Lepisosteus oculatus: one gene and its partners. The protein of the gene in region 3 purifies or fractionates together with the protein of the main gene of each other region. This does not show direct contact. Links are inferred from orthologs where the notes say so. Each region holds a gene or a part of one and is shown on either strand. Other genes may lie near its edges.

What was found.
Region 1: the proteins of stk25a (region 3) and proline and serine-rich protein 2 purify together in Homo sapiens (affinity purification with mass spectrometry; 3 studies listed by BioGRID and IntAct, counting the BioPlex papers as one, with this or other methods). This does not show direct contact. The link is inferred for Lepisosteus oculatus from reciprocal best matches to the Homo sapiens genes STK25 and PROSER2.
Region 2: the proteins of stk25a (region 3) and cab39 purify together in Homo sapiens (co-immunoprecipitation; 3 studies listed by BioGRID and IntAct, counting the BioPlex papers as one, with this or other methods). This does not show direct contact. The link is inferred for Lepisosteus oculatus from reciprocal best matches to the Homo sapiens genes STK25 and CAB39.
Region 4: the proteins of stk25a (region 3) and sike1 purify together in Homo sapiens (affinity purification with mass spectrometry; 4 studies listed by BioGRID and IntAct, with this or other methods). This does not show direct contact. The link is inferred for Lepisosteus oculatus from reciprocal best matches to the Homo sapiens genes STK25 and SIKE1.

What each region holds. Positions count from the first base shown.
Region 1 is NC_090702.1:41,896,232-41,904,146, reverse strand, and holds the start of proline and serine-rich protein 2, read left to right. Parts: upstream 1-4,903; 5' UTR 4,904-5,763; intron 5,764-6,507; exon of another isoform or gene 6,508-6,615; intron 6,616-7,875; 5' UTR 7,876-7,915. Other genes in the region: echdc3 (enoyl-CoA hydratase domain-containing protein 3, mitochondrial), read left to right, coding at 1-295.
Region 2 is NC_090708.1:8,180,979-8,187,812, forward strand, and holds the start of cab39 (calcium-binding protein 39), read left to right. Parts: upstream 1-3,824; 5' UTR 3,825-4,058; intron 4,059-4,177; exon of another isoform or gene 4,178-4,247; intron 4,248-6,834. UniProt on the Homo sapiens protein: Component of a complex that binds and activates STK11/LKB1. In the complex, required to stabilize the interaction between CAB39/MO25 (CAB39/MO25alpha or CAB39L/MO25beta) and STK11/LKB1.
Region 3 is NC_090708.1:12,399,802-12,407,506, reverse strand, and holds the start of stk25a (serine/threonine-protein kinase 25a), read left to right. Parts: upstream 1-4,690; 5' UTR 4,691-5,081; coding exon 5,082-5,120; intron 5,121-7,705. UniProt on the Homo sapiens protein: Oxidant stress-activated serine/threonine kinase that may play a role in the response to environmental stress.
Region 4 is NC_090700.1:32,285,897-32,293,069, forward strand, and holds the start of sike1 (suppressor of IKBKE 1), read left to right. Parts: upstream 1-4,149; 5' UTR 4,150-4,174; intron 4,175-7,173.

The DNA of each region.
Region 1 (7,915 bases), on a different chromosome or scaffold from region 3:
TGCCCAGGACGCCCTGCTTCACGGACTGGTCAGTAAGGTGGTCCCAGCAGAGAAGCTAGACGAGGAAACGCTGGCCATCGCCCGCAAAGTCTGTGCCGCCAGCAGGCCGGTCGTCGCTCTGGGGAAGCAGACTTTCTACAGACAGATGGCCCAGGATCGCAGTGCTGCCTATGCTACTGCTTCTAGGGTTATGGTGGACAACCTGGCTTTGAGAGATGGGCAGGAGGGCATTAAGGCTTTTATTGAGAAGCGCCGGCCTGAGTGGACACACAGCAGAGACCGGGCCCACGAGTGACATCCCACACCCATTCACTGCTCTGTGGGTCTTCTTGCTACTGCTGCATAAAGGCTAAGCCGTTTTTTTTTTGTTTATGCCAAATATTCTAAAGCACAGAGCAGAAAACAAAATCCTACAATGAAGGCAAATTGCAAAAAAAAAGAAGGAATTCTTTCGATAATCAGTCTTGTTTCTTTTTGCAGGTCATTTTTTTTTCTGTTGGCCAGACTTGATGTGTACAGAATGAACAAAAATAAAATATTAAATCAGATGCTGCCCTGGTGGTGGGGCAATTCATGCTACTGCCTTTCAGCTTTTTGGGTCTGAGGCTCATTTCCAATCTGGTGTGCAGTCTCTGTGGAGTTTGCATTTTCATGAGTGTTCTTACCTCCCAGAGCCGCACTGGCTCAGTTACTTGGTGCTGCTATATTGGCCCTGCAATTGCCATCTCATCCAGTGCCAAGCCAATCCTGCCTTCTGCCCTGTGTTTGCTAGGTTAGGATCTGGCTTGTTTTGACTCTCTAGGATGAAACAACAGTGGACGATGAAAGAATGTGTGGAAATCCTCCAGCAGGCACATGTAGAGTACTTTTTATTAAAAGAGTAGTGCACTTTTATCCAAAATACAACACTAACAATTCCTCCGAAATTGAATTGGTCAAGGAACGTCAGTAAAGAGGTGTTGGAAGATTAGACGAAGCTGCTTCAGTACTGACGTACTGATTTTTTTAAAGTGAAAATTCTTACCTAATGTTGCCTGTATTCATCTAAGGCTTTGGTTAGGATACTACTATCAGTGGGGAGGAGAGCAGAGTGACGAAGCCAGTTCATAGATGGAGATTATTAGGAGGCCATGATTGGGTAAAAGGCCAGTGGGAAATATGGCTAGGACCTTACTCTTTTCGAGAAACACCCTGGGATTTTTAATGACCACAGAGAGTCAGGACCTTGGCTTTATGTCTCATCTGAAGAACAGTGCCTTTTAACAGTATAGTACCCCCGTCACTATACAGGGGCAGGGTGAGAAACACCTCTGGTCCCAGTAACTTCTCTTCCAGCAGCACCCTTGACTTTCCCAGGAGGTCTCCCATCCAGGTACTGACCAGCCTCATACCTGCTTAACGTCAGTAGGATGCCAGTTGTGAGTTGCACTGCTATAAAAACAAAGTGGCAGTGCGATACTTATTTTAAAAACAACATCTGAGTAGTTGTTTTCAATGAGATTAGGGTGAGACAAATCCTAAAGACAGATAAATGACCTTAACTACAAGTCACAACTAACAGAAACTGTAATCATTTTTACCACTGAAGGTGCATTCTTATAAATAGTTCTGGAACTGCTAATTTGTGTGTTACTTGTACAGTTGTGGGTGTGGGTGTACAATTAGCAGTAGTCCTTTATTGCTTATTGCCAGGGTGAGTAGTGGTTCTCTGCCTTAGAACTGGAGTACCCCTGTGTGGTCTGCTTTTCATTCCTACTAAGCTCTTAATCACTGAGGCTGATTGATCCCTGTAATTGAGCTTCTTGCTTCAACAGACGTTTGGAAGCTATTTCTGTACTTTAGTCATATGTTTCAAAATTAATATTCTGCTGCAGGTACAGTTTTGAGAAGAAACGCAACAAGCAGAATTCAATCCGTTCCATCCTCAACTTGCTTATGAAGTGACTGCTGCCTTATTTCTGCCTAATTCAGTCTTAATAGGTGGCCAATTCATGATGGATAAACACAAGCCGGAATGACTTGATCAAGATTATATGCCAGCTGTTCTGTATTAGCTTCATTACTTGCATTCCGCACACCTCAATTATGGTAGTTATTAACCTCATGTGACTTTTTAAAAGCTTAAAGTAAAGTCTGGATGAAACATGGATCAATTAGTCCATTGCCTAAAAGCTCAGCTGGAGTAAAACCTGTAGGCACAGGAGTAGACCAAGACCGGAGCTGTGAAGAGCCGCTTTTTCACAGAGGGGAGTGCCTGTACTAAGAGTCAGATGTACATTTAGGTATAAAATGGTGCAGTATGTGAATAATTTCAGGACCGTTTTTGGAAACTTGTTTTCATTTTCAGTTTTAATGTGCATTAGTTATTTTCTCATGTTGGAGAAATGTGTGTGAATGGCCTCGTCATTTTTCCAATCATTTGTTATTGTAATGTTCGAACTGCAGTGAACACCATTAATACATTGTTGAAAGCTGAACTAAAGCCTGATTTTGGTCACCTCTTGGTCTAGATGTGACAGCGGGGTTTAGGATGCTTGTTATTGAAACAAAGTAAAAGGTAGAACAAGATATGACCACATGGTGGAGCTGTGGCTTAGGTCAGTGGAGATTTTGCAGTTTATATCAGATGAGAAAAATTAATAAACAGTATTTGTAAATCGAAGTTAAAAGCATAAGAAATGTTACTGATGAAGTGATGCTTAATTCTTGCCTAGCATTTTTGCTTATTAGTAGATAATTCATCTGAAAATTTCACCAAGCTGAGTACTGAAAGAAGCAAGTATCTGTTTCAACAACGTGGCTGGGTAGTGTGTTCCAGATTGTCACAGTCTTTTGTGTAAAAAAGTACCTCCTGTTCCCAGTTTTAATTGCGCGATCATGTAGTTTCCATGTGTCCTCTGGTTCATGTTTCACAGTTGGTTCTGCCAAATTGTATTGGGCTGACATTGTCAGTGCCTTGGGATGGTTAATAAAGTCACATCTCATTGTAGTGTTCTCTGTTCAAGTCTAAAAAGGATCACTTCTTTTAGTCTGTTAATGTAGGGCATTTGTTTGAGCCCAGAAATTTATCTGGTTGCTGTTTTCTGGACTGATTCCAGAATGAACTTTTTTGTAATTTGGTGACCAAAATGGTACATAAAATTCATATTACAGTAAGAATCCAGGTTATTTGGGTTCGTACTAGTGCTTTGTGAAATGTATACTTGGCACTTGTGTGGATTAAATGTCACCTGCCAGTTGGGCAGGACTGTCCAATCTTTGATTTTGTCTATAGGTCTTTCAGAATTCCTTTGCAGTTTTTACAGTGTTTGCTAGTCCTTCTATATGGGGTCATCTAGTCAACACAAGTATGCAGTTTTAATGATAATGATGTGAAAACAAAAGTTGTTTATCTTCCATTCTGTGTTTTAACTTGGAAGTTAATTTATCCAGTTGATCTGTTAAATTTAATTTGCTGTTAGGGTAAAAGGGATTTTTTTTTTTCAAATTAAATGTTGTCACATGATGTAGTTAAAAACATTTGTATAGAGAAGCAACACCTAAAAGTGAGGGAAAATAATCTTTAGGATAGAAAATTTGTTTCATATCAAATTCAGTAGGATATGTTTATTCTTCCATTGTAGTTAATGGTGAGAGGAAACAAAAAAAATCAGTAGTGTCTAAAATAGTGACTGTGTACTATACAAAACATCAAAGCTCCATCTTATTTATCAGGTACGAGACTTAAATTTATTTCAATTACTGTACTAACACCTGACCTGCGCAACATTAGGGTTGCTGTTGTCAAAAAGGTAAATAGGGATGATGACCTGTTGAGTATTCTGCTACGTGTATTTCGAAGTGAAAAGATTTTTCACAATTGTTTATTCTTGTTCTGAGTTGAGAGGATGAAAACGGGCCTCAGTGACGAGCTTCTGGCTGAGGTGATAACTTTGCTTTTAAATGTTTTGACATATTCAGTCCTCTTTCTAATGAATACACGTTTGTATCATGCGCTGATATGTAACATCCATAATTTTGTAATATAGTTTTTATCATTTGCTTTTTCCTACCCACACCTGAACTTTGTTTTCGTTTGTAATATCTCTTTGGTCCCAGTCAGAACCCGAGACTGGAAATCTGCTTCCAATTTCAGAACCCATTTCCAGTTCTGCCAGCAACGTGTGTAGAAACCAGACCAAAGTTTTATGCGCTGCAGATTACGAAATCGTCAGTCTTATCCCCACAAACCTGTGGGCTGCACTGTTCCTTCCAGCTTTATTACTTTTAAACTAATTTGTACTTAACATTTAAAGACCAATGTGCGGTGGATTAAATGCATGTGTAAATAAAGGAAAAGTCCTACATGCCCACAACTTTATTTATACTATTTAAACTCATTACCACGAGATAGCAACCGAGAAAACCCATAATACAACCGTCTAGTACATTAAGTCACTAAAACTACAACAAGATTTGATCTTTTTCATTAACCTCCTGTAGATATTTACTCTATCATTCATCTGTGGCTTCCTAGAGGAAACCTCGCATTCCTTTATCATGATGTTGTACAGACACACATATTTCTTCATATATCACATGTTCACGAAAAACCTGCTTCTTCTGTGTATAAGGATGTAAGGCAGAACTACGAAAAGATATGTCCGGTTCTAATCTCTGTATTACAGGATCAAAACTGGTTAGTACGGAAAATAACATCCTTATTACGCATACCCTTGACGTGACGTTTGGATATTGTTTCACGTACACTGCGCCTCTTTTTTTATTTTGCCTCTTTATACTGCATGTATCCTGCATTCTGAAATACTGTAATACGGCTTAAAACATTATTTTTAAAAGGCATTGAAAAGTATAATGTATTACTATTCAAAGCATTTCCCCGACACTTCTTCCAGATTGAATGTTAACACGAATATACACGTCTAATGTGGTTCTAAATATCAGAGATCGCAATAATTATATCTCTCCGATGCTCTAGTGTTCTTAAAAAGCTGTTTTGCCAGCTTCCTTCTGCCGTGTCAGATGGTAATCAAGAGCGAGTGTCACATGATCGGAATGCAGGTGCGACATAGTAACAATTCTTCTTCCAACATTCTTCTCAGGACTGAGGCAGGCTGAACAGGACTGGGGACGTGCAGAGGCGCTTGTTCTGACTGGTCCCCATAAATCAAGTCAGAACCTGTTCGACCACTGCTGAAGAAAAAATTAGCTCGGTCAGCGCTACAATACATACTGTACAAGACAGCGAGCTATACACCTGTTACGGCACTTTGTTTAAGCGATTTTTAAAGACATTTCGGCGAGCGTGAATAACTCAAGCTACAAGACATTACCAAAAGGGGATTTGTTCCTGTAATGGTCAACAGAGTGCACTGCCCCTCAGGCTAGCCATGTGCAGCTCTGGAGCTACCTCAGGAGGAGATACGGCGATGTGAGGATGCCCCCGGGCTGCAATGGTCGAGGCACCTGTGGCTTTAAGGATCAAGCGCTGCAATGTTTGCAAGAGGAAGAGCCAATGTAGGGCCGTGCGCTTGCGCCGTGGAGTAGAAATGAGAGGCTTTGGTTTCTCTGGAGTTAGTTACTGAAACAGTTTTGTACTGTAAAGGTGGGGCGATGGGTCTCCACACCACAACCCAGTAGGATGTTGATTTCAAGGAAACAGATCTGTAGTATCGGCAATAGCTAACGAGCTATTAAATTATTCTCCTAAAAAACTCCCGACTGTCTTGAAGTGTGAACCACCCAGTTTCCACACAAGAAAAGGTGAGTTACCTATTTTGCTCAACGATATTCTTTAACTGTGCAGCACATTAAGAGCACATCATTGAGTTTTAAAATATCCCAGTGTCATTGGTTTTTTGTTACAGTGTTAACACCACCTTAAAAACAGTATGAATTGCTTATAACCAATTTGGAATTCTTGGTATATGTTCATACCGTTATATAAAATACAGCTATCATATTTATTTATTCGTTTATGTTTATAATGTAAATCTGTTTAAAGTTTAATTCCTGTTGAAAGTAAAATACGTCATACAAATGCGTTCACATATTTGAATGATCCTGTAGATAAAAATGTTTTTTTATTATTATAATTATTGTGTTTAGAGGTGGTTGACCTACATACCTTACTCTGTTGTTTTTTAGTTGTCAAACTAGTCTAGCAACTTTACGGGTCTTTTTCATGGTGATGTCAGAGCTTTTGCTTTACAGTCATCCCAACGCCCAATGTTCGCAAACAGCATCTGTTTTTTTTTTTAAAAAACTCCTTAGAATCCACAATTAGAGTAACTATGTACAGCTAGTCCCATGACAAACCTTTTGGAGATGGGTGGCGTTTTGTGTTCCTCTGAGAGGTGGCTTGGCAGGTGGCTGTAAAAGAATAGTCTCCTTACGCAAACCCAGATCCCCGCGGGGAGAGCATATACAAGCTGTTTGAACTGTACCGTCTGCACTTCCCGGCTAAATTATCTTGAGTGTTTGTACTACATGTGGAAATACGGTCTAATTCCAACATCGCAGAACCCAGACGGGGTTTCTATCTGGTGCGCTCTGTTGTAAGCGTTGTCTGATGCGGATTCATTAACCATTTTACATCACCTCCTCAGTTTCAAGGTAAAGGGAAAAACTCTTAACCCTAGAGGTTTGTCCTAGCAACGACACCGTGAGGGAACCCGTATTAGCAACCGCAGAAATCATTAACTACTTAATTTACTAAATATTTATGGGAATACTCTGCCGAGTGAGACGTTTGTTGTGTAAACACAGTTCTTGAAGCGTTGGGAGCGAAATGACACATTTTGTTTTTAAAGTGAAAAGAATGTCAAACTCGAGAGCGTAGGTCGAGCTAGGTCTGTTGCGATCCCACACCTATAATGTACTGGGAGGTGGAAGCAGTTTCCTGCTTCAAATGCTCGTTTTAAAGATGCAATTGTAGTGTCTTACATTTTCAATCAATCTACCACCCTGAAAGCATTGTATTCACAGTAATAACAAGCTTATGTATCTGTAATACTTGAGCACTTCTTCCTGTTGGCTGAGGCACGGAAAGGAGGAGTAAAGTTTCTTCCTCCAGGTCAATTAGCCTAAAGCTTCCGAATGTGTCTTTTCACAGTATTTTCCCATTCATTTTGATTTTTCTTAAAAGGGGCCCGTAAAGCCCACAATCTTATTGCTTTTTGGTCTAAATCGTTTGCTTTTTCAACAGGAAGTATAAGGATATATACTGTATCTGTAGTAGTTCAGGTGGGGAGCTGCGTCAGCGTGCGTAGGCTGTAAAGGAACATGTAATAGGTTTATTCCATGCTGAAAAAAAAAGAAGAAAGAAAACACGACGTTTCGGCCGTGGAGCCTTCTTGAAGAAGGCTCCACAGCCGAAACGTCGTGTTGATTTGACGTCGTGTTTAATTTAACCGGGGATGGCCGGGAGTGGAGCAATTGCGCAATGTACTTCGTCTTATTTAAGGGCACAACCGCAGTCTCCACACCTGGCACACCTGGTATTGGCACCTGACCCTCCCAGAGTCCTAACTGCTTGCTCACTGCCACTGCTTATAAATAAAATTAATGACATCCTGAACCTCATTACCTCTAATGTGAGGTCAGAAACATTTGATATGCTGTTGATAACTGTCTCTGCTTGTGGGTAGGTAGCATAAAAATGATTTCGTTTTGATTCTATGGTTTTCGCTTGACATAAGATTTCCATAGCTGTTGAAAACAGGTTTCTGTCAGATTGTGCCTGCTGCTGTGCTGTGTGTACAGAGCAGGAGTTTATTCTGCGAGAAGCTTCCTGATTTAGTTCTTAGAAGAAGAAGAAGAAGGAGTATAAATAAAACAAGATTAAGTCATATGTGTGTATTGTTTCTGTTTCAGTGTGGGCTGTATGGGAAGACATACTGAGACAATGGGGCTG
Region 2 (6,834 bases), about 4.2 Mb from region 3:
GCGTCTTCATACCTACGAATTCGCTTGGGAATGGCGGAGCAACAATGTGCCTCTCCGCCCACCGTTTCTTTCAGATCCGTGCCCTGTCCACCTCTGGGTTACTAATCGGGTTGGACGTAATCGTCACGCTGTTGTTTTTTCCTGTCTTGCCGACTCTAGGTTCAGTTTCAGTTAATTAATCCCTGACATGGTAAACACAGTTCAGGGCGATGCGCTGTACCGTGGCGCTGACGGCGAGTCAGGAGGTCCGCGCTGAGGCAGTGGGGGGAGAGAAACTGCACAGGCGGTTCGGGGAAGATGATCTAGACATGAATTTCTAGACTAAAAGCTAAGAAATATGTGTATTTGTTGTTTCAATGTGTCCATGGATGTGCACTGTATGGTAGAGGGAGAAAAAGAAATACGTTTTTGTTTTCCAAAAAAATATTACGTTTACAAATATGTTGAGCATGATATAAAAATGTTGTCTAGTGAAATTGATAAAATTGTAATTTCAAAATCGTAATGCATCGTTACTGTTCAGTCTATTACATGAATACTTTCTCATTTAAAAATTCAAAGACTGGGAAAATGTTAACTTAGTCGCTGAACCCACAGAAATTACTGTATATTTCAGGGATGGCCATCTCCTGTCCTCAAAATTCAACAGATTTTACAGGTCTCCGTCTCCAGTTTCTTAAGAACAAGGAACGGCTTCACATTGTCCGATGAGGGAAATAATGAGTTCATCGAGGCCATTAAGAGTTTAGGCAGAAACAAATCCAGAAGCTTTTTGGTCTTTCAAAACTTGTGCACCTCTGGGGTACCTGGTTCACATATAGCAGGGCTCTAGTACCCTGAACCTGTGGAGGCCCAAATTCAGCAAATTTTATATGTCAGCATTAAACTACCAATATCTAAAGAGTTGAAACTCTGAGATTAATTAAAAAGGTGTTTTTATATATTGCGGAATCTCTAATTTATTTGACACAAACTATGAGTTCCCTTCAGTCCTGTGATCTCTTAGCTAAATGGATCACTTGCTGAATTCATCATGTTGTTCTCAATTTTTAGAAACAGGTGGTCTCCTGACCGATCATTCCAAACTATGACTCATAATAAATTCAATTGTAATGATTCTGTTGGATTACAATTATCGCCCAAATATTATTGGATATTTGGAATTATAATGGATTCCAAATATACTGAAAATGTCTTCAAACAGTGTATAAAACTGTTAGGTTACTTTACTCAGATCACACATCATATAAAACTCAAATACCATACGTTAAACGCACACATTATAAAAAAAAAGAATTAAACATTAAAGATAGGCCCAGTTCCTTTACTGCTTCTATGCTCCCTTTTCAATAAGATAAATTCAGAGTTCGAGCGCCATCTTGTGTGTAGACACGGCATTGTAGTTGAACAAAATAGTGGTCAGTGGTGATTTTTGGGACAATTAAGTCCCAATATTAGTGCTAGTCCAAGGCCTAACTCTACATTTAAACCTAACTCTAACTATAGCCCCAAAAAATCCCACAAACCCACAATGAAAGCCCTGATATGAACCAAGCTGAGTCTAGATGAGGCAACAGTGAATCTCTGAGCTAACCCAGAAGCTGGTATGCAGGGGAGAAGGAGTACTGTAGAGCCCACTGTAGAGTCAACCTGCTCAGAGCTAACACTCACCCTCAGAGCCCCAGAAATTACAACTGGGCAATTTTCTCAAGGAAATTAAGTGATTCTTTCTGAAAACCTAATGCCAAATCTATCTTTTTCCTTAACCCTTAGTCTAGTTTTAGCTTTCTGGGGAACCTCAGTCATGACCATAAGCTAAACCCTTACCACAGCTTTAACCCTACCTAAAACCCTAGAAGTAGACACAGCCAAAGCACCTATCCAAGGTTAAGTCGTAACTCTAGTGTTAGTTCTATTTGGAATCTTTACTCTGGTAATTAAGATTGTATAAATTACACATTATATACTTACATTATATACACCTTAACTGCTAATGTGAAAAAAAATATTTCAAGGCAGAAGAATTTAAATTTATTGCTGGCCAACCACAAGATTTAAAATATTTTTTTCCCAGATACTGTAAATCAATAGAGGCTCACTGACATGGTCAAATGCTATCAGATCCAGTGATCTGCCTGGCTTATTCTTCTCCATCTCTGCATTGTATGGGTATTAGAACCAAGGCAGCAGCAGCCTAGAGAAAGCTGATGTACTTTGCAGAAGATAAATGGTTCCACAGGCCACCAGCTTCAGGTTTTCACTGGCCTTCCCCTTTCTGACACACAAACTAGCTTTCACGTGGCCCAAAGAAGACATATCAGGGCTCCACCACTATTCGATTCAATTCAGTTCACTTCAAGGTGCTTTATTAGCATGACCGATGGGTACAATCAGTGTTGCCAAAGCACATAATACAATTACTGTGAAACAAAATAAAAATAAAATAAAATCTACAGACATATTACAGACATTAAACAACAAATGACATATCAGAAAATATTTACATAAACTGTAAACATATTGAGCATTATTGGGAGACAGGCCCTCTGTTTCTCGGGCTTCTGAGAGGTGTGAAATGTTGGAGTTGTCTGACTAGATGCCACATTCCTGAAGGCCAGGGCACCTGATAGCATCTGTGCTGTCCCACACAGTTTGTGACTTTGTGACTTTGTGATTAAAGGGGGGTGGGGTTTTATATCTCACTGCTCTTCTAATTGTACCTTGTTCCTGTGAATAACACCATTTGTAGCTACTCTTCATGTTTTGCTACTGGTCTTTACAGCTCTACCGATCCACTCTGTTGGCTTAATGTACACAAGGTATATGTGGCTGTCCCCATACTTCTCTGAAACTGAAATCATCACCTAGTTAAAAATTCACATGGGAATACAGAATCCGTTAAAAATGTCCCATTGGCCTAAAGTAATTTTCCCTCTCTTGTCAGCCACCTTATCATGGTGGTTTATTTAACTACACAAAGTTTCTTTGGCCTGTGATATTTCTCATTTCTAGCTGGTTGTATGCTAATTACTTGACTGTAGGGCCTCATTTGCTTCTCATACAATATAGTTCTGTCATGTCTCTTTACATACTGTATACTGTATGTAACATGGTTCGATTAACTCTTGTTTGGGAATACGCCGATAGGGTAAAAAAAAAAAACTATCGTTGATCATTGGTTTTGTTGTGCTTGTTCTCTAAAAATACATTTCCACCCCAATCCCGTTCTGTCTGGTCTTGCTGTACGGAATAAAGTACAAAAGCCTTGGGAAGTGACGTATCTTAAGTTTCCTATGAAAAACAAAAATGCAAAAAAAATTTAAACAAATGTATTAAACGTATGAAGAATTTACAAATACAACCAGAGGATCAGAAACAGGTACAAGAGAAAAAAACACAAACAGAAAAAAAAAACAATGAACTGCCGGAGGTAAAGTAAATTATGTGATCAAATGGTATTTTTTACATATATCAAATGTTTTCTTGCTTCAGCCTTTTTTATCGAATTTAGTGTTTCAACTCCACCTCAAAAGTACTAAAAAGGGGAGTATTATTAGACCGTTTTGATTTATGAATGTGAAATTCACCCAGAATGACCAATACATTTACTGTACATAAATGCTCTTTTTCGAAATTTCCTATTAAACAGTTCAATAAAATATCGAAATCCTCAACTGCCTGCAAACAATAAAGGTTTGCTGGACTGGGTCATACTGGCATTCGTAGTACTCGAGGAATGAGGAAACATTTCGACTAGAGACTGGCGGCGCAGACCCCACGGTGGCTGCGCAGTGTTGTTGCTATGACACTGGCGGGCGGGCGATGGCAGCAGAGAGCGGCCTTTTCGGTATCACAGCGGAAATAGAAACAGCACTGCACTGAGAATTCGCACAGTTACATCCAGCTGCAGGGAGAACTAGGAAATAAACTAAAAGTATAATCACGGAGGGGCAGTAAATTAAGGAAAACCGGGCGGTATCAACCCCTGCCATTCTCCTCACTTGCTTCTGCGATTCCAAAACACTCGGAGACCAAGGAAGACGGGTCGTGTTTGCAAGGTTTGTTGCAGAGTAATATTTACTATCTCATGCAAACAGCGAAGTTTTTTCCCCTCTCTCTCTCTCTCTCGTCTTGCAGGCCTGTCAGTGTGCTCTTTTAGGCGAGAAAAGAGGAAAATTGTGTGGTGTAAAAAGAAAAACAGCGCAGCGGGTCTATGTCCGTGAGTCCTCACTTTGGAGAATAAACTGGTTTGTGTTCGCATCATTTAGATGGAAAAAGTAACAGTCTGTAGTTGTGCTGTCTTTGTGCGGAGATTTAAACAAGCAGAGCATTTTTTTTTCTTAAGGCCCGGTTGCTTGAGGCCTGCTGGTCAGATTGGATCCAGCACACGGTGCAGTGTGCACTGCTGGGACTTTCCTGTGTTGTGATTGATGTATTCATATAAGTTAACGATTCTGGGCGATGCAATACCAAATGGCTGTTTTTCTTACAGTTGCGAATTTGCAAATCAGCTGTTGGAGTGAAATAAACCACAGCAAACCGATAACAGAGTATCAGCTACTGCTGTTTAGAGACGACTGTCACATCTTGTCTCCAATTTCTGTTTTGTGTGTTTTTTTTTTTCCTGCTAGGGTGCAACAACTTAGCGTTGAAGGTGTATATTTCTGTTTTTCCCTAAAATGACTACCGAGCACGATTGGTAAGCCTGGTACATACTGCGCACATGCAGCACATAGCTCCTTCATTACCTATGTAGCCTTCGTATGTATTCATTTCCTTTAGTGTTTTTTATTTATTATATGCGTACGTGGTCATCTTTTGATTACCACCTTCCGCTGTGATTTGTAATTGTCTAGGGCTGGACGAAAACTCAGTGCCATATTTGTCAAATTACCTGCCACCGTCTGAAAACTGAACGCGTAACATATTGCTTTTGAGCTTGAAGTTGAGGTTGTGCAACGCTATGAAGCAAAAGGGTGTAACAGGCAAGGAAAATGTAGCGATCTGCGTAAACCAAACACTCGTGGTTCAAAGTTCAGGCCGTGGTGTAGGAATAATTGGTTTAGCAAGCTAAATTCGACTTTCTGTCCGTCTTGCCTATTGGTAGCAGTAAATGAGGTGCCGTATGTTTTGTATTCAAAGGCAAAATGAAGTCATGCTATTTATACAACGTGGAATGTCGTTTAAACGATTAAAATAAATGGTGTGTCATTTTAGACATCCTGCTTTCAAGTCTTATCTAAATACCACTCTAGAACGAAAACCTATCAAGGCTTGATTTTAATGAGCTTATGTGGTACAGTCATTTGAAATGCATATAACAAAGATTAATGTGTTATCTTATTGAAGCAGTCATTAGTCTTTCTATTTGTTTATGCCATTTCCATAACTTGTTCCTGTATGATTTTGTGCTACACTTGAAATGTAATTGTGGTTGTCCCCCTTTACATATTATAGAGTGACTAATTGAGCTCAATGATAAGAGGTTTCTTGTTGTTCTGCTGTTGTGGTATTTATGGGTTTAATAACCTTTGAGCAAAACCACACTTATAATTATTCCGTTTTGTAAATGTCAGCTCATACAAAAATAACAAAATGCACAGAACTTGTAAACTAAAATGGGAGCTCGTATAGCTTTTGACTCAAGACATTTTTGATTGTGTTGACTGAGGCGTTGAAGCAGAAGAGATTATCTTGAAATAAATGACCTCCATCTGTAAGGATAAAGGCAAAATATCCAGTGAGAGATTTGATGTTATAACAGATTAATTTGTTGAAATAGAAGACCAAAGTGATTACATTATGCCATATGTATGACCAACATCCTGTCACACGCCTATAGATTGTACACATTAAGCCTAAGCTTTTTATGTAAAAGAAGCCAAGCTAGCTGTGTATACATTCAGAAATATGATGCAAAAATGTTGTATTGGGTATTAATCTAAAGATAATTGGACCTTTATGAAGTACACAGGAATGATGCTGCACACATTTGTGGATGCTTTATATTTTGCTAAGGCACTGTGATTATAATCATGAGCATTAGTTATACTTTTCTATTTGCTATTAGATGTTATAGAGGAATCGCATCTTTTCAATAGATAAAAACATGTCACAAGAGTTCCTTTAAATACGAACATTACAAATGGTAAAAATAAAATGAAGCCCATATAAGTTAAATGCTCAGTTAATATCAAGGTTGTCAACCTTGATATACAACTGTCCAGCAGGTCTTATGGGTCATCCTTATATCAGCTGTTTCTAAATGCTTGGAATAATTGTGCTGGCCACTTAAGCAGGTGATTTATTTAATTAAGTAATTTGCAGATCTGTTAAACACTACTGGGTGTTGCTATTTTGAGTTCCACAGTTGGCCATTCCTGGTTTAATTGTCTCAACATTTTTACAGTAGGAATGTACAATTCTGTGTGTACTGACTTTCAGCATATAGTTGGAGGCTACAGTAAAGAAGTGGTCTTGTGCATTTTGGAAAACCAGTCTCTATCACCACCTCTGTGAAACTTGCATGACATGATTCAGCTTGTGTATAAGCATGCAAAAATTTAGTTAAAATAGCCACTGGACCTATCATGAGTTTATCTTTTAAGCAGTTTTGTTTTGCTAGCCTAAAAATGGTATGTTATTTTTCCAAAACACAACTTAATTCTAATTGCTGCCTGTCCTTATCCAGAAAATAGCCTCATTATAATGCTCATAGTAATATGTTTTAAAGCAGGACCTGTAGGGGTTCAGTGAAAACAATGGAGAATCAATTCGCAGCTACAGAATGCCTTTTGGGTGCTGAATTGATTGTTGTTTATCTTTAACTTCATA
Region 3 (7,705 bases):
AGTCATCCTGGTTCCTATCTATCTCTTCCACAATAAATTGTGACCACCAGGCTCTTTCCTTACAGTTACCAGTTACAAGAAAAACAAATTAAAAAGCACTTTGCATGACCCTTGGGGTGTAGGAAAATTTCTACAGAAAATTAAATTCCATCTTTTTTGTGGATGCTCATCAAATTGTATCCTTAGTCATCTCACTTTAGGGAAAAGAGCTGCAACAAATTTCCTTGGAAGAGCTTTTAAATGCTTCCAATGAACTATGATCCCGAAGTTGGTTAAAGCATGTTCTTTCCATGCTTGAGTGAAACCACATGTATTTCCAGCTCTTCATGAACTCTTGTTTTGCCCCGCGGTTCTGAATACACATTTTCCTGCCTTTCTTGTTTGTCACAAATCGTACTTTGTGAAATTCTGTAGAACTGCCTGTTGTTGTTTTGACAAACAAAAGTGTTGACACATTTTGCCAGCAAAAAGGGAGTGTTAGGAAACTGCCTGTTCAGCAGATTTTTTCTGCTTTACTCTTTGGATATTTGGCAATGAGTTCCCTGAAAAGTGTTTTTCCATGAGTGTGGTTATATTCTTTCCAGAAAAATGAATGTGCTTGACAAAGAAATTCTTAGAAACAACATGAGGCAATACATGTTATAAACCTCTTTAACGCTCACTACCTTAAAACCAGAGTAAAGCAAAAATCACAAAGATGACTGTTAATTATGAGAAGGTATTACTCAAACTATGGGGAAATCCAAGTAATAAATATTCAACAGTCCAGGCATTAAGTTATTCTAAATCCCAACAGACAGAGGAAACTACAATTCCAGACACTGGTCTCCAGCTAGCGTCTGTTAGATTTTCATCTATGTTTATTTATGTCTTCGGTATGAGTGCTGGATGTTATACAGCAGCAAAATGAAATAGGAAGAACACAAATTTGAAAAAACTAGCCCAGGTCTGAAACAGGTAACACAAGCAGAGGATTCAGTTCAAGGGCAGGAGGGTGATGTTATGTTGCTGTTTAATATTTTACAACCTTATCAGACTCAGCCTACTTGGTTTTTGACACTTTTGTCTAAAGGTCTTGGCCACCTCACTTCACCCAGTTACAGGTTTTTAGGACTGCATCATGAAAACACAGAGAGCAATCCTTCCTCCCTGTAATCACAGTCTAGAAGGTGATTGCTGTGTCTAGATGGCTAGATGTGTGCAATGCATTTCTGCGAAAATGCAAACAGTCTATTAGAAACTGGAACAAGTGCCAGCCTCACATACTGTAGGAAACTGTTTACATTGGTTTATGAAGAAGAGATGCAACAGCCTCTTGCTCACTGAGCACTGCTACATAGGAAAGCCTTTTGGCTCTAAAATAAGCCTAGTTTGTTGTTTGCTCTTGGAAAGATATTTTAGAACTTGAAAAAGTTACAAATTCAGCCCATCCAGCCCATTTGGCACTAGTTAATTGATTCAGGCTCATTCAGCCATTTCTTGAAAGAAACGGGGTATTGGCTTCAACAGCATGGCTGAGTGGCTTGTTCCACACTCCTGCAACACTTTGTGTAAAGAAGTGCATCCTGTTCTCTTGTTATAAACGCACTTCCACATAGTGTCCGCGGAAGCCCCCTTAATTCCAATTTTAAAACTTAGTTAAATTCTAGGGGCAGTCTCCACAGCACTCTATTATGTAGTTTTATAACAAGAAATAAAGTAAACAATTGACTTAATGGTGTGACTATGTAGTCTAACTTGCAAATTATCTCATACCATTCAACGTGTTGAATATGGTATTGATATCCCGCCCCCGTTTACCTGGGAAATAGACGACTCTCCTTTACAGGCCTCCACTCCCCATCCCCAACGCCGGGAGCATTTTACCTGGAACCAGCGCCCTGTCTGCGCTTGTAGAAAGAGCGCCGTGCAGCTTGCCAGAGCAGTTTGCGGGGGACGCGGGTGTGGAGAGAAGTTGCGTCAGTGCGAAAAGGGCCCGGAGACAGGAATGTCTTTTTCTTACAGTCTTTCAAAAACCGTGCACACGCGCGCGCACACACACACACAAAAGTTTCTGTTACACAATTGGAGGTGTGCGCTTTTTTTTCTTTCCCATGACGTACATATGATACGGAACACGATATTTGACTTATTATTATTCTCAAGAGCGCGGCAGGAATTGAGCAAAAGAAGAGCATCAGAAAGAAAGGTTTTAAACAACAGACGGCCGCTCGGCCCATATTGACCATTCGGTAGCTAGCGGCTAATTCGAGCGTCTCACCCTTGAATGTTTTTGCACAATACCAGGCCATCGACTTCCAGCCTAGCTGGGTAACCTGTTCCACGCTCACACAACCCCCTTGGGCGAAGACTTGCCTCATGTTCCCAGCTTTAAATGGTCTCATCCCTGAGATTTCCATCTGTGTCCTTTGGGTTGTGTTTGACTGTCGGCTCTGAAAAAAATCCTCTGGGTGATCTTTATCGGTGCCTTTGAGGATTTTGAATACTTGCGTCAGGTTCCCCCGTAATCTCTGTTCAAGGCTAAAGAGGGTTCTGGTCTTTCATCCTGTGGTGAGCGTACTGGGGCGCTATGGCTGCCGTCGCATCATCCAGGTGGGGCTGCAGATTGGTAGTGGTGGAGGGGAATCCCCATTACCTGTAAGGCGCTTTTGGGTAGAGTGTCCAGAAAAGCGCAAGGAAATATTATTATAATTATCATCCTGTCAGTTGTAATTGTAGTTTTGCAGAGACTTTTTGGTTCAATCACTAAAGTTGCAGTAACAGTTATTTTTTGTTTTGCACGTTATTTTGACTGAATATGTTATTCTCTTTAAAAATAAACCTAAAAAGAATAATTTACATGATTTTTTGAAGACTCCGAAATTGCGTATTCAAAATCTCTGCTCTGTAGTGATGTGCTGCCACCTAGCGGTCACATTAAGAAATTTGATCCCTCGATCGAGCAATTAAAAACGGGATTAAACGGAATCATGTTTATTGGTAATATCTAGTGATGCATCGTTCTTCCTTTTCTCTAGACTGGGGTTCCTTTCGAAACACGTGTTGGTCACAACGAATCAGTACAACAACGCTTTGCTCTTTCGCTACACCTCTTCCATTTCTTTTTTAAAATGGATTTTTAAATTATTGCAGATCACTTCTACAATGTATATATAATCGTAATTTGATCTAGAGATGGAGCAATTTAAAACAAGACCCGCCCCAAACACACCAACATCGAGTAGACTTTCCTTGATAACTACATATAAAACAACATTGTGTTCATAAAGCTCTTTTTAGCCCCAAGAACTTTAAATACATGAACGAATTCCCCTCGTCCTTCACCGCAGGCGAAGAGAAGAAACTACTTCACCAGGTGAACTGAGAGGGGTGTTCAGTAATTCCAGGTTGTGTAGGTGGAAGTTATGCATCTTTAACCCTCCTCCTCCTATAAGCAGTGCTGTGGGATATTTAATAACCAAAAAAACAGGGTCATAGAACAGCATACTGTCAACACATATTTTTTCACCTTAGAAATATCGCAAGACTACGCCCTATGCTATCATTAACTGTGGCTGAAAAGCTGATCAACATATTTGTATTCTCTCTAATTGACTACTGCAATGCTCTACTCCCTGGGGTATCTAAATCTACTCTGAACAAGCTGCAGTATGTCCAAAATTCAGCAGCCAGAATCCTGACCAGGTCCAGTGCAAGTGTTCACATTACTCCTATCCTGGAGTCCTTGCACTGGCTTCCGGTCAAATTTCGCATAGACTTTAAAATCCTCATGCTCACCTATAAGGCTTTACATGGCTTGGCACCTCAATACCTGTCTGAACTTTTATCGCCCTACTCCCCACCTCGCAGCCTCCACTCTTCAAATTCTGCCCTCCTTACTGTCCCCCAAGCCCGTCTACATTGTATGGGCGACAGGGCCTTCTCCTGCTATGCCCCCAAGCTCTGGAACTCTTTGCACAAGGATATTAGAGAGTCACCTTCTCTAAACTCCTTCAAATCCAGACTCAAAACCTTCTTCTTCAGAAAAGCCTTTACTTAACTGGTTCCATTCTTCACTCCTCTGCTCTTCTTAATACCACCTTCCACGGTCTCCTCCATTGTTATTGTTGTATTGCTGTAATTATAATTGTGTCCTATCTTGTGAAATCTTCTTATTTATTGTTGTAGTCTTCTTATTTATTGTTATTGTCATCCTGTAAAGCGTTTTGAGAAGCCACCTTTAAAGGCGCTATATAAAATAAAGTTTATTATTATTATAGTCGCATCTTAACGATAGCAACTTCTACAGCATATAGCGCCACCTACTGATCTACCAACGCTACATGCACCAGCTACCTGCTTGTCTGTTGGTTGTGTCTGGTCACAGTATTAAGGGCAGGAAAGAAACAACATTTCGGCTGAGACAAGATGACGAGATCAGGTTAGAAAGTGATAGGCAGCTTCTGCCAGAAAATAAACTACCAGAGTCCATTCAAATACAATCTAAAATTATTTATTCGTAAAACTAAACTTTTATTTCATGGAATGAGAAATTAATTAGACCTAATTTACTTAAATATACAGAATACGCTTTCTCCACTGCATGATAATGCTACTATAAAAATCTCGTCACTTGAAACGCACAGAGCCTTGGGAGTTGCTGTCCAATTTGCTGGAGGGAAAGAACTACTATTCCCACAATGCTCTGCGCACACACAGGAGGGACTCACGCGTGCGCAGCTTGTTGTGTCCCTCTCAAGCAGTAAATGAGGAGCTGGGAGAGTCTCTTTTTGTATAAGAATTAAATATTAATACACAAAGTCGAAATTCTTCTTTACACTTGCCAGTCTGAGACATGGAGTCACTCATGGCATAACCTGTTCTCGCGGAGTAGCGAGTGGGCGAACCGAAGCCGAAAACAGCTCGGAGTGACAGAACGGGGAGGCTGTTTGTGCAGTGGGGTCTCAGAGGAGGAGGAGGAGGAGGAGGAAGAAGCAGAAAAAAAATATCGGAGGAAAAAAATTAAACATCTGCCCCCACCACCCCCTATCCGAGGAGGCCAGGGCCGCGGCTGCCCTCACCCTGACCACCCTACCGCCAGGATGGCTCACCTCCGGGACCTGCGGGACCTGCGGAACCAGGTGAGCTCGGCTGGGGCGAGGGGGGCTCCGCTCCTCGCCGGGACCCTCGGCGGGAGCCGTGCAGGTAGAAGGCAGAAAGGCGTGTGTGCATCTGCTACCTGCCATTCCTCAGCGCACTCATTGCTCCTGCCGCATTCCTAAGGCGGATAAGGCTGCAGGTATTAACGCTCGCTCCGCGTCCCGTCATCCGCAGCCCTCTAGGTGATGTAGATTATTCCCCAGCTGTGCCTCCTGCTATCTTCGGCTGCCCACAGAGCACGCCAGGGGAAAGCCGTCTTGGACAGGTGTCCTGAAGCTAGCACGTCGCTTGTTCTCGGTTTGTAAGTTTTAGTTGTCGCATTTTTTAAATTGTCCAACGTGACTCTTTCTGACCCCCCCGTTATGCTTTCTGATAAGGAGCATCACCAGTTCTCAGCACTGACAGGGCAAGAGATTAGTTTCAGCTGTTGTGCTGAAATGCAGGATTCCCGATCAGGCAGTGTCCATCTATATTGGTCTTGTATCTAAACTACATCTAAAAAAACCCAGGTGGCGGTAGAGATGACTGACATAATTACCTATGTTATTTGTCTCGCTATGTGGTACATATGCAAGAGGCTGGGGTATGTTTGGTACACATACAGTGTATGACCGTACTGTAGTAAGTTATGGTTTATAGGCTTAGTGGCTGATTTTAAGTCTAAGCAACTTTCCGTAATATGTTCTGCTCTTTTCATGTTCTTGTATTTATTATTAGTCTCTTGACTGATTGCCACAGAGAAAAAAATGTCTGAAAATATACTGAAACAACAGAAAGTATTGTCACAGACTTTTCTGAAGTGTACTACTGCACTGCTAATGTGGTTCAGTATAATGTCACCCCTTTTAACTACTGCAGATAATCACACAGGGCTCCCAACTGATAAAAAAAGAGAAAAAACTTCAATACATACAGTACATGAGCTGCACTTCTAAATGAGAAAACATTTGCAATGGCTGCCCTAAAAATACATTTATAAAGCAGATTTATACTTGCTAAAATCAGCGGATTCAGTGAATGTAGATGCACCAGCCCGCACATGTAAAATATGACCTGACATGACCCTAGAGCATGCACCAGAGAAGAGGTTCACAGTATTATACAAGAACAAGTAATAGGTTTATTCATCATGCTGAAAGGTGAAGAAAGAAAACAACGTTTCGGCCGTGGAGTCTTCTTCGGGTGTAGACACCTGAAGAAGGCTCCGCGGCTGAAACGTTGTGTTTTCTTTCTTCTCTTTTCAGCACGGAATAAACCTATTACTTGTTCCTTTGCAACCTACGCATGCTGACGCAGCTGCCCACCTGAACTATCACTGTATTAGATTTGAGATTCACCCAACAAGGACACTGGCAGCCACAGTCAGATATTAATAAGAAATGGGTTTGAACATACTGGTTTGGATGTGCGGGAAATAAAGGTAGTGTATTGCACCACAGTGCTTGTCCGTTGGTTTTTTAAGCTTTCAGCTGTGCATTTCTCCTGCTGAGTAAGCAGCCCTAGGCCTGTCCCTGAAGCAGAGGGAGCATGGCTGGACTGTGCTCTTTATGGGATGCCATTACATCACAGGGCACAACTCGTGCACACTGACAGCTTCCACACAGCAGTCAACCTCGCTGGTATGTTTCTGGGAGGAAACCGGGGCACACAACGAAAACCCACAAAGATGCCAGGGGTAAACGTGCAAACTCCACACATAAAGCCTCCCCCTACCAGAATTGAACCCAGGTGAACAAGACCCCTGAGACAGCCGGGCCACTGCGCCTCTCAGTTCTCCATTTCCTCTGCTAATGCTCTGGAATCAAAATACATGAATCGGATGCTAATAAAACTCTGCTGATCTGCCTGTGGCTTTGACAAGCAAGCGTATATCTAAATGCTGGAAACTTCTCTCTCGTGAAATCTAAAGTGAAGAACAGGGAAAAAAATTCTCCAGTAATTGATACAGGTTGCCTGCAGGGATTGTCAATTTTTTGTCCAGTGTACCCCAGAGAGCAGTGCTAGAAGCACCGTAATTGAAAAGAAATTAATTTAAAGTCAAGCATTTTGAGTTCTTTTTGCTTTCTCAAGCAGACGTGTGTCTGAAAAGAAGTGCCCTGTGTTTTAAAAGTGAAGTAGCAGCACTTTTCCCTAGTCTCGATTAAAAAAGGGGTAAAGGTCACCAATGTCATCTTTTCTCGAGTTTTGGAGCTAGCGAACCAGCTGTGTGTTTTCTGTAATTTCAGTATTTAAAAAACATGTAATTTTACATTTGCCATTTGTATTATTGTTCCACTCAGTAATGGACATCTGCTTCCCCACTTTTAAGCACTGCTTTTATGGCTTATTCAGGGTCAGCATCATTTTAAAGTTTGTTGTGTTTTTTTATGAATTTCTTTTTTGAAGTGTCAATATTTTTTATTGAAGAGGCTCCGAAGAGCCTGTAAATGAAGCCCTCTGGTTGTGCGGTTCTGATTAGATAGGGCTCATAGAAACAAAGGCCCTGGTTACAGCCGAAAGGGCAGCTGTCCAGACTCTGCAGTGCTGGACTGGTTGAAGTTGGGGATGGAGGGGAAGCTATGACATC
Region 4 (7,173 bases), on a different chromosome or scaffold from region 3:
GGCTCGTTGTGACCCTGAATTGGAAGAATTGGATATAAAATGGATAGATGTCTGGATATACATATACAAAGAAGATTGAAAGATACAAGATCAGTCTAAACAATCGCTTGCGAGCTCAGAAAAGGAAGCTGTGGAAAGTGAGACCAGCTTGGAAACACAAAATCTGGGGCACTTTTAAGTGAAAGTTTGTGGCTGCCTGAAACAAACTACCCAACAACACTGTGGAAGATGATTCACTGGGAGTCTTTAAGAAAAGGCTATTGAAATTGTGAAACAATTACTTTAAGAATGCAAGAAAGGTTGTAAAGGAGAGGCAGCTATTCATTCCAATAGCGCATTAGGTGCTAGTAGTTAATTGATCTCAGCCAACCACTTCTTCACAGAGGTTTAGGGTATCAGCTTTATCACATTATTGGGATAACTCGTTCCAGGCTCCCACAGCCCTAGGTGTAAATGAAATCCCTCCAGTTCTCAGTCTTCAATGCACTTTCCTGTACTTAAGCCACTTGTTAGAAACCAAATGAGCAAGTTGAACTGAATTGTCATTCCTCTTTTTGGTAAAGTTTCAGAAGACTGCCGACGTGAACTAACAACTGGTACTGAAAATGTTTTAAAGATACACAGCAATGGAAAAGGTCTTTTCCTCAGCAGGGAAGGTGTGAAGTATCAGATATAAACAATTTTAAGAGCTACTAATATCGTCTTCTTTGTAGTTAAATTTAAACAAATAAGCACATAATAAGCATTAGTGAACCACTGGGATCAAACAGCCAAATCACTAAAATGATTTGTAGATGTTATTATTTGTTTTCCACAGTTTTTTCCCAGTGTGTCAAAGTCAAAGTTTATGGCTTATGGCTGTGTTTTTCAAAAAACAACATTACTTAAGTGTTTCCTGTTTGCTTTCCTTTTTAATCATTTTGCAGTCTGCACAACAGACTGACCAAGATCTGCACCTCTGTAAATCAGCTAGTGACCTACACAAAGACACCCCATGAAGTGTTTCAGTACCATTGAATCCAGACTTATACAAGTACCATTGTGGACTACAGCGGCACAAATGAAGAGCTGTTTATTTTACGGATATTTTATTAGGCTCCAGGAAGGTTTTTCTGTTTTATTTATAAATAACAGAAGCTAATGAAAGTTCAATGAATTGCAGCTTATGACACAGCACAAACTTTGAGTGTACATAGAAAAACAGTGATCTTGCTATTATAAGTAGTAGTTTTAATATATAAAACAGTAGAAACATTTGCATAAGTCGCAACAGAGTGCTAGAATCAGCTGTAGTATTAGGAGTGTAAGTATAATATTAGTGGCGGTAGCATTTAAAGGAATATTTTATTCACTTTAGGACAGTGCCACATGTATCTGACACCAAAATAAACTGATATATCACCTTCTAAACTACTTGGTGATCATCCCTACAGCACATTTTAATTTGTTAACTTCAGCAGGTGTGACAGAGTTGTCCTTGTCTGGGAAAGGTCCTCTGTCTGGTACTATGTTATTGGCTACCACTGTGAGTAATAGGGTGGTCTGTCCGTACTAAGTACTGCTACATTACAGGAACATAAAATATGTTGACAGTCACTGAAAACGCATGAGTACTATCCTGTATATTTAAAGTAGTATAGCTAAAAAAACACTTTCACAGACATCACAATGTTTGTAGCTGGGGTGTTTTTTGTAAATACGACTTATTTGTGTATACCCTGACCTGATCTGTCCTGAGTATGTGATATTTTTGGAATAACTGAAAGGCGGGGATAACCTTATCAGTATCAGTCATTGTGCCATGTGTGGAAATATTAAGTTCTAATGCATATGCAATGGTTGCTTGTACACACTCAGTCATGACAATAACAGAGAGTGACTGGAGCTGTACTCAGGCTATAAAACGTCCTGCAAAACCGCTTGGATTCAGAGCACTACAGGGGCAGAGGTGAGGGATACACCTTGTGTGTCTTCTTGGGTGTTCTCCGGTAATTGCCTTTTTTGTAACAAATTAAAACTTGTTTCAAACCTTCACTGGGCTATGTTTTCACTTCTGGCATCTTCTAAATTGGTCCTTAGCAAAGTCAACAAATTTTGGTTATTTAGAGCCATACATACATTTCTGTACACTGCAGAATATCCATTCGTAAGGTAATACAAAACTCCTCTCCTGAGATTCAGTGCGAATCAATGACCGCAGGTCAGAGAAACTCTCAATCTTCTCAGCATTGCTGTGTAACCTATATAGAGACACTCTCTGAATTGGAAGCTGTGAAAACAATAAAGGTGTTTCCAAGTCAGAACCTCAGTAATGTAACCTGGCTCAGACTTCCATTCCGTTTCTTGTTTTATGTGCAAGACTGCTATCCTATCATAAAAGCTAGTATTATTTATTTCTGACCTGCTCAGGAAAACAGCAACAGGAGTTGAAAATTCCATTTGTTAAGACATGAAGAAAGCCCTGATACATCTATCAATAGTCCCATACCCTCAGAATGTTTTCATGTGCTAAATTATTTAATACTTTAACACTTATTAAAGTGTTTTTAGAAATGTTAACAGCTGGTTTGTGAATAATTTATCTGGTGTCATTAATAACACCTAAAATGTAACGGAAACATTTTCAGAAACGTGATTTGGTAATGTGAGAAAGAATCCCTGTCAACGTTCCAGTTATTTTTTATATTAAATATCTTAAATGGCTATTTCTGTGAGTTAATCAGGACAAATTTAAAGGTAAAAGGCTGAACAGAAGATCTTCTCCAACATCACTACAATTTCTTCTGTAATTGTTCTTCTCATTGTAATTTCTGACAATCAGAAATAGTCAAAACATGCATTTTAAAATCTACCTGATCATTTCTAAAGAAAACGTTTGCTCCTGTGTTTTTTTTCGGGGGGGGGGAGCTGTATAAACAAACTTTTCTGCAAGTGACCTAAACTTTTGTCTGACAACAGCAAGTGTGCCTTCAGGCAAAGCAGGGGCTGAAACATTAAATCATTGACAGTATCATCCCTCCATGTCGGCAGAAGGGAACAGTGAGGGCAGAAGTGTGTCTGTAGTCTGCCAAGAAAAGGAAACTCTTTCTGTATTTTTCTGTCCTCACTGGGAAATTCCTATCTCGGTTCACACTGGAAGTTTGTGGTTTTAGTGTCTATAGTTTTTTGATTCAGTGCCGTCCAGTTCTATCTCCTACAAATAACTTCAATAATTGTGGTTTTGAAATTTGCTAAAGAAGACATAATATGTTGTTGTTTTCCTGCTTCCAACAGTCTTCCCTCTCTGACCTTTGACACGCTCCATGGATTACCCTGTATCCTTTAAAACATTGGCAGATAAGTTGAAATCAGGACTATTCAACACAGTAAATTTGTTGCAAAACAATTAAAGGGTTTGAGGGGATCTGTTTCTGTGCATTCTGCTCTTAAAGCAGATAATTTGATTATATTACTAGCCACCTTACAGATGTTTTTGCTTTGAAAATTGCTCCAGTTTTTTCCAAAGCAAAATAAAAATACAAGTACAGACAATTCTTCAACCAACACTGCATTTAGGCGATATTTTTGAAACACCTTTCAGACATCCGAACTCTTCTATAGTCACAGGAAACCTCGTCAGATCTGTGCCTTTAAATATTTTTACAGTGACTTCCAGAAAATGGGGAGAAGTGATTTGATCTGGTTTAAAAGACCCCCTGCTGTGCTGTTGTATTAATTTTTAAATTAGAAAACAGCTTCATTTCCAAAATGCTTTGCACTTCACTCGCTTGTCTCCCGTGTCTGTCTTCTTTGATTATCCTTCATAAGAATACGCCGTTATGCTGTGTGGACATGCCAAATGTGTTTTAACATCTGCCATCATGCACTCGGAGCATTTCTGGAGTTATTTTTAAGAGTTTTACTCACTGCCACGCTCACTCGTAAAGGTTGCTGTCTGGCCACTCTCTGCTTCCTCGCTTCCCCCAGTTCTTCTTCTGTGGGACACTCTGTCTCTCTTGTGCGCTGTCTCTGCACTCAGCCACTGAGGCTCCAGACTGAGCACTGCTCTCTCTCCTCTCTCCCAAACACTCCCCCCACCCCCCACACAGCAGCACGGCACTGAAGAGGGGGGGTGCTCGGAGAGAACCCACTCTCCTCTGGACAGTGCCTGGGTACAGGAGCAAGTCTTTTTGAGGTAAGGGAGGGGGATACCAGTATTGATATTAAACACTTAGATTGAATGGTTTAATTATGTCACCAATGGGCTTAAGGGCTGAGGGGGGATTCATTTCTGTAGATTTAGGACAGAGGGGGGATTCCGTTAATTATTGTTGAACAACCATGTTATTGACTTCCTGATAACTATTGTTACATTTCTCCAGTAGAAAGAAAAAAGAAAGAAATATCCTCATTCTCTTCCTCAATTTGAACATGGTAGAAGGAAGATTTTGTTGCTGTATTGTTATGAGACAATGATATTTACAATAGATTCCAAAGTTTGTATGTATATATATTATTGTCATTTTCAGTTTAAGTGTTTTTGTCTCAAATGAATTGTTGTGATAGACTTGGAATTGATCCTGTAATGACTGCAATATCTATAGTATACCTAGTAAGTTGTGCATTTTACCTAAGTTTGTATCAACCCAGAGGCAAAAGATCTACTTTAAGTTGAGAGAAGGGGCAACTTCATGTTCCACACCAGGGAAAACATTTTCCTGTAATGTGTATTTCTTAATCCATTTAATTTGCATATAATAAATACATTTAGATCACCTTCTATCACAATTTCAATGTTAAAGGGGAACTGCTTTGTACATCATATTTCGGGGTTAGAAAAAATCAGTATTGATGAGTGCATTTCAAGCTGCAGTAAAAGTAAAATGTAAGCAGTAACTTGTAAAACCTCCAATTTACATCACAAAATTTGCCAGCAGCTACATCACCCCGCAACTAACAAATGTCAGCCCACTGAAGCTTAGCAGGTGTGAACCTGGCCAGTACCTGGATGGGAGACCAAGGTTGCAGTTGGAAGTGGTGTTAGTAGTGTTAGTGGAGCCAGTAGGGGGTGCTTACCCTGGGGTGTGGGTCCTAATGCCCCAGTTATAGTGATGAGGACACTATACTAGAAAAAGGCACCATGTTTTGGATGAGACGTAAAACGGAGGTCCTGACTCTCTGTGGTCATTAAAAATCCCAGACTTTTTCTTAAAAAGAGTAAGGGTGTACACTGGTATCCTGGCCAAATTTGTATCACGTCACAATTCTTGGGAACTCGAATGCAAGTTTGCAACAACGTGGTGACTTACAGTACTTTCAAAGAGTTCACAATTTTGTGCTTAATTTAACATTTGTAAAAAATTTTCTATAACGTAAGTGAATTTATTCTGTTACCAAGATTTAATAACCGGTCTGAGAAATTGGGACAGCAGTTCCCTTTTAATTTAGCTGTTCTCAGAATTGTAATGTTTCTAAAGCATATTCACAAGAGGCAAATTACCAATGATGGATAATAAGACAGCTATGGCACAAAATGTCAGTTGATGACTATAAACTGATGTGCAGTTTGTTGATTCTGGGTGATCAGAGCACACAGATTAACACAACAATAACACATAGCACGGGCATGAAGTTGCACAATGAAAAATTGTTGAATTATCAAGAAACACTTTATTTCTTCTCTACACTCATTTTATATCTTGAAGGCATTTAATTAGTACTGATGCACAATGAACATGGAACGGTTTTACTTCAGTATCTCATTGGAAACAAACATAAAGTTATTTACATTTTAAAAAGTGAGTACATAAGTTGTTTGAATAGTTCTTGGAGGGCAAAATATTGGAATCAAGCTATGTGATTTTATAAAAAAACAGGTGCTCAGTTTGCAATTTGGATCAAAATGAATTTAAGAATCTGTGTAAATGACTATTGTAAAAGGCAAGATTGTGATTAATGCTGCAACAGTGTAAGAGTCAACCATTTCCCACCTGAGACCTGAAGACCACGTGGTTGGTTTCAGTGTAACTGAAGGTGGCCTGACTGTGAGAGAAATGTTCCACTTCAACAATCAGTAGACTAGTCCAGAGAATCCAGAAAATTGGCTCTGTGAGGGACTGAATCACCTGTGAGGCAAAGGAATCACCGTACAGGCCCAGAACAATCTGACCCACCTGTTTGTTTTCAGACTGCAGTGGCTACAGTGTGAGGAATTCCAAAAACAATAGCCTGCTCATCTGCATAATAACTGGATCACCATGTTCTTGATGATCTGCATGCTAGCTGGTGACATCTAAGCTGGTTGTAGAATGGGAGAGATTAATTTGATTTTTCTCTTGATGGTCCTGACAGGAGACAACCTGGGTAAAGTTGTCATGGTTAGTATTATGGTAATTGTTGCACTGTTCTAGCCAGGCTGTGTAGTGGTAGAACTGTGATTATCTAGGGAGACATCTCCTTTAACTCAAGAACAGCTCTGAAGCAGATTGAGGGTTCTCTTACAGCTCAGAGAGCAGTTTCACTGACAAAGGCCATGAGCCAACAGCTTCTCCATTCCTGCAAGACACTCCAGAAGGGTCCATTTCCAGCAGGACAATGCGAGACCATGCAGTACTAGGATTACAATGACATGACTTCCAGAAAACAATGTTGCGGACTTGCAGAGGTCTTGCAGTAACCCGCTATTTCTCCTCATCTGAGTCCAATAGAACATCTGAGGGACCAAGTTGGCATTGCCATGAACAACAGACAACCTTCCCCAGCTGGCTGCATGCTGCACAGGAAAAGTGCTGAAACTTCCCACAGTATTAAAAACTTTTCATTGATTCATCTCGTGGTACTGTAGATCAACACAAGCATTTTACCAAGACTTTCTTTTAAGCTTTTTTTCCCCTTTGTTCTAATTTTCCCTTTCCCTTTCTCTAAAAACAAAACAAAATTAATGAAGTCCTTCAGAGCTCATCTCAACCAAAGACCAAGAGAAGTGGGGTTCACACATAAATGAACTTGCAGTACAGCAGTGACAGCTTTCGCACAAAGGATTTTCAAACAACATTTGTCATTCAAAACAGTTCAACAATATATTAAAAGAAGCTTTTGAGGTTTTACAGAAAAAAATATTATCAAAAATGCTTGATCGGATTACTTTATCAACTACTTCATTAAAAAGAATTCATAATAGAAATTCCTCTGATC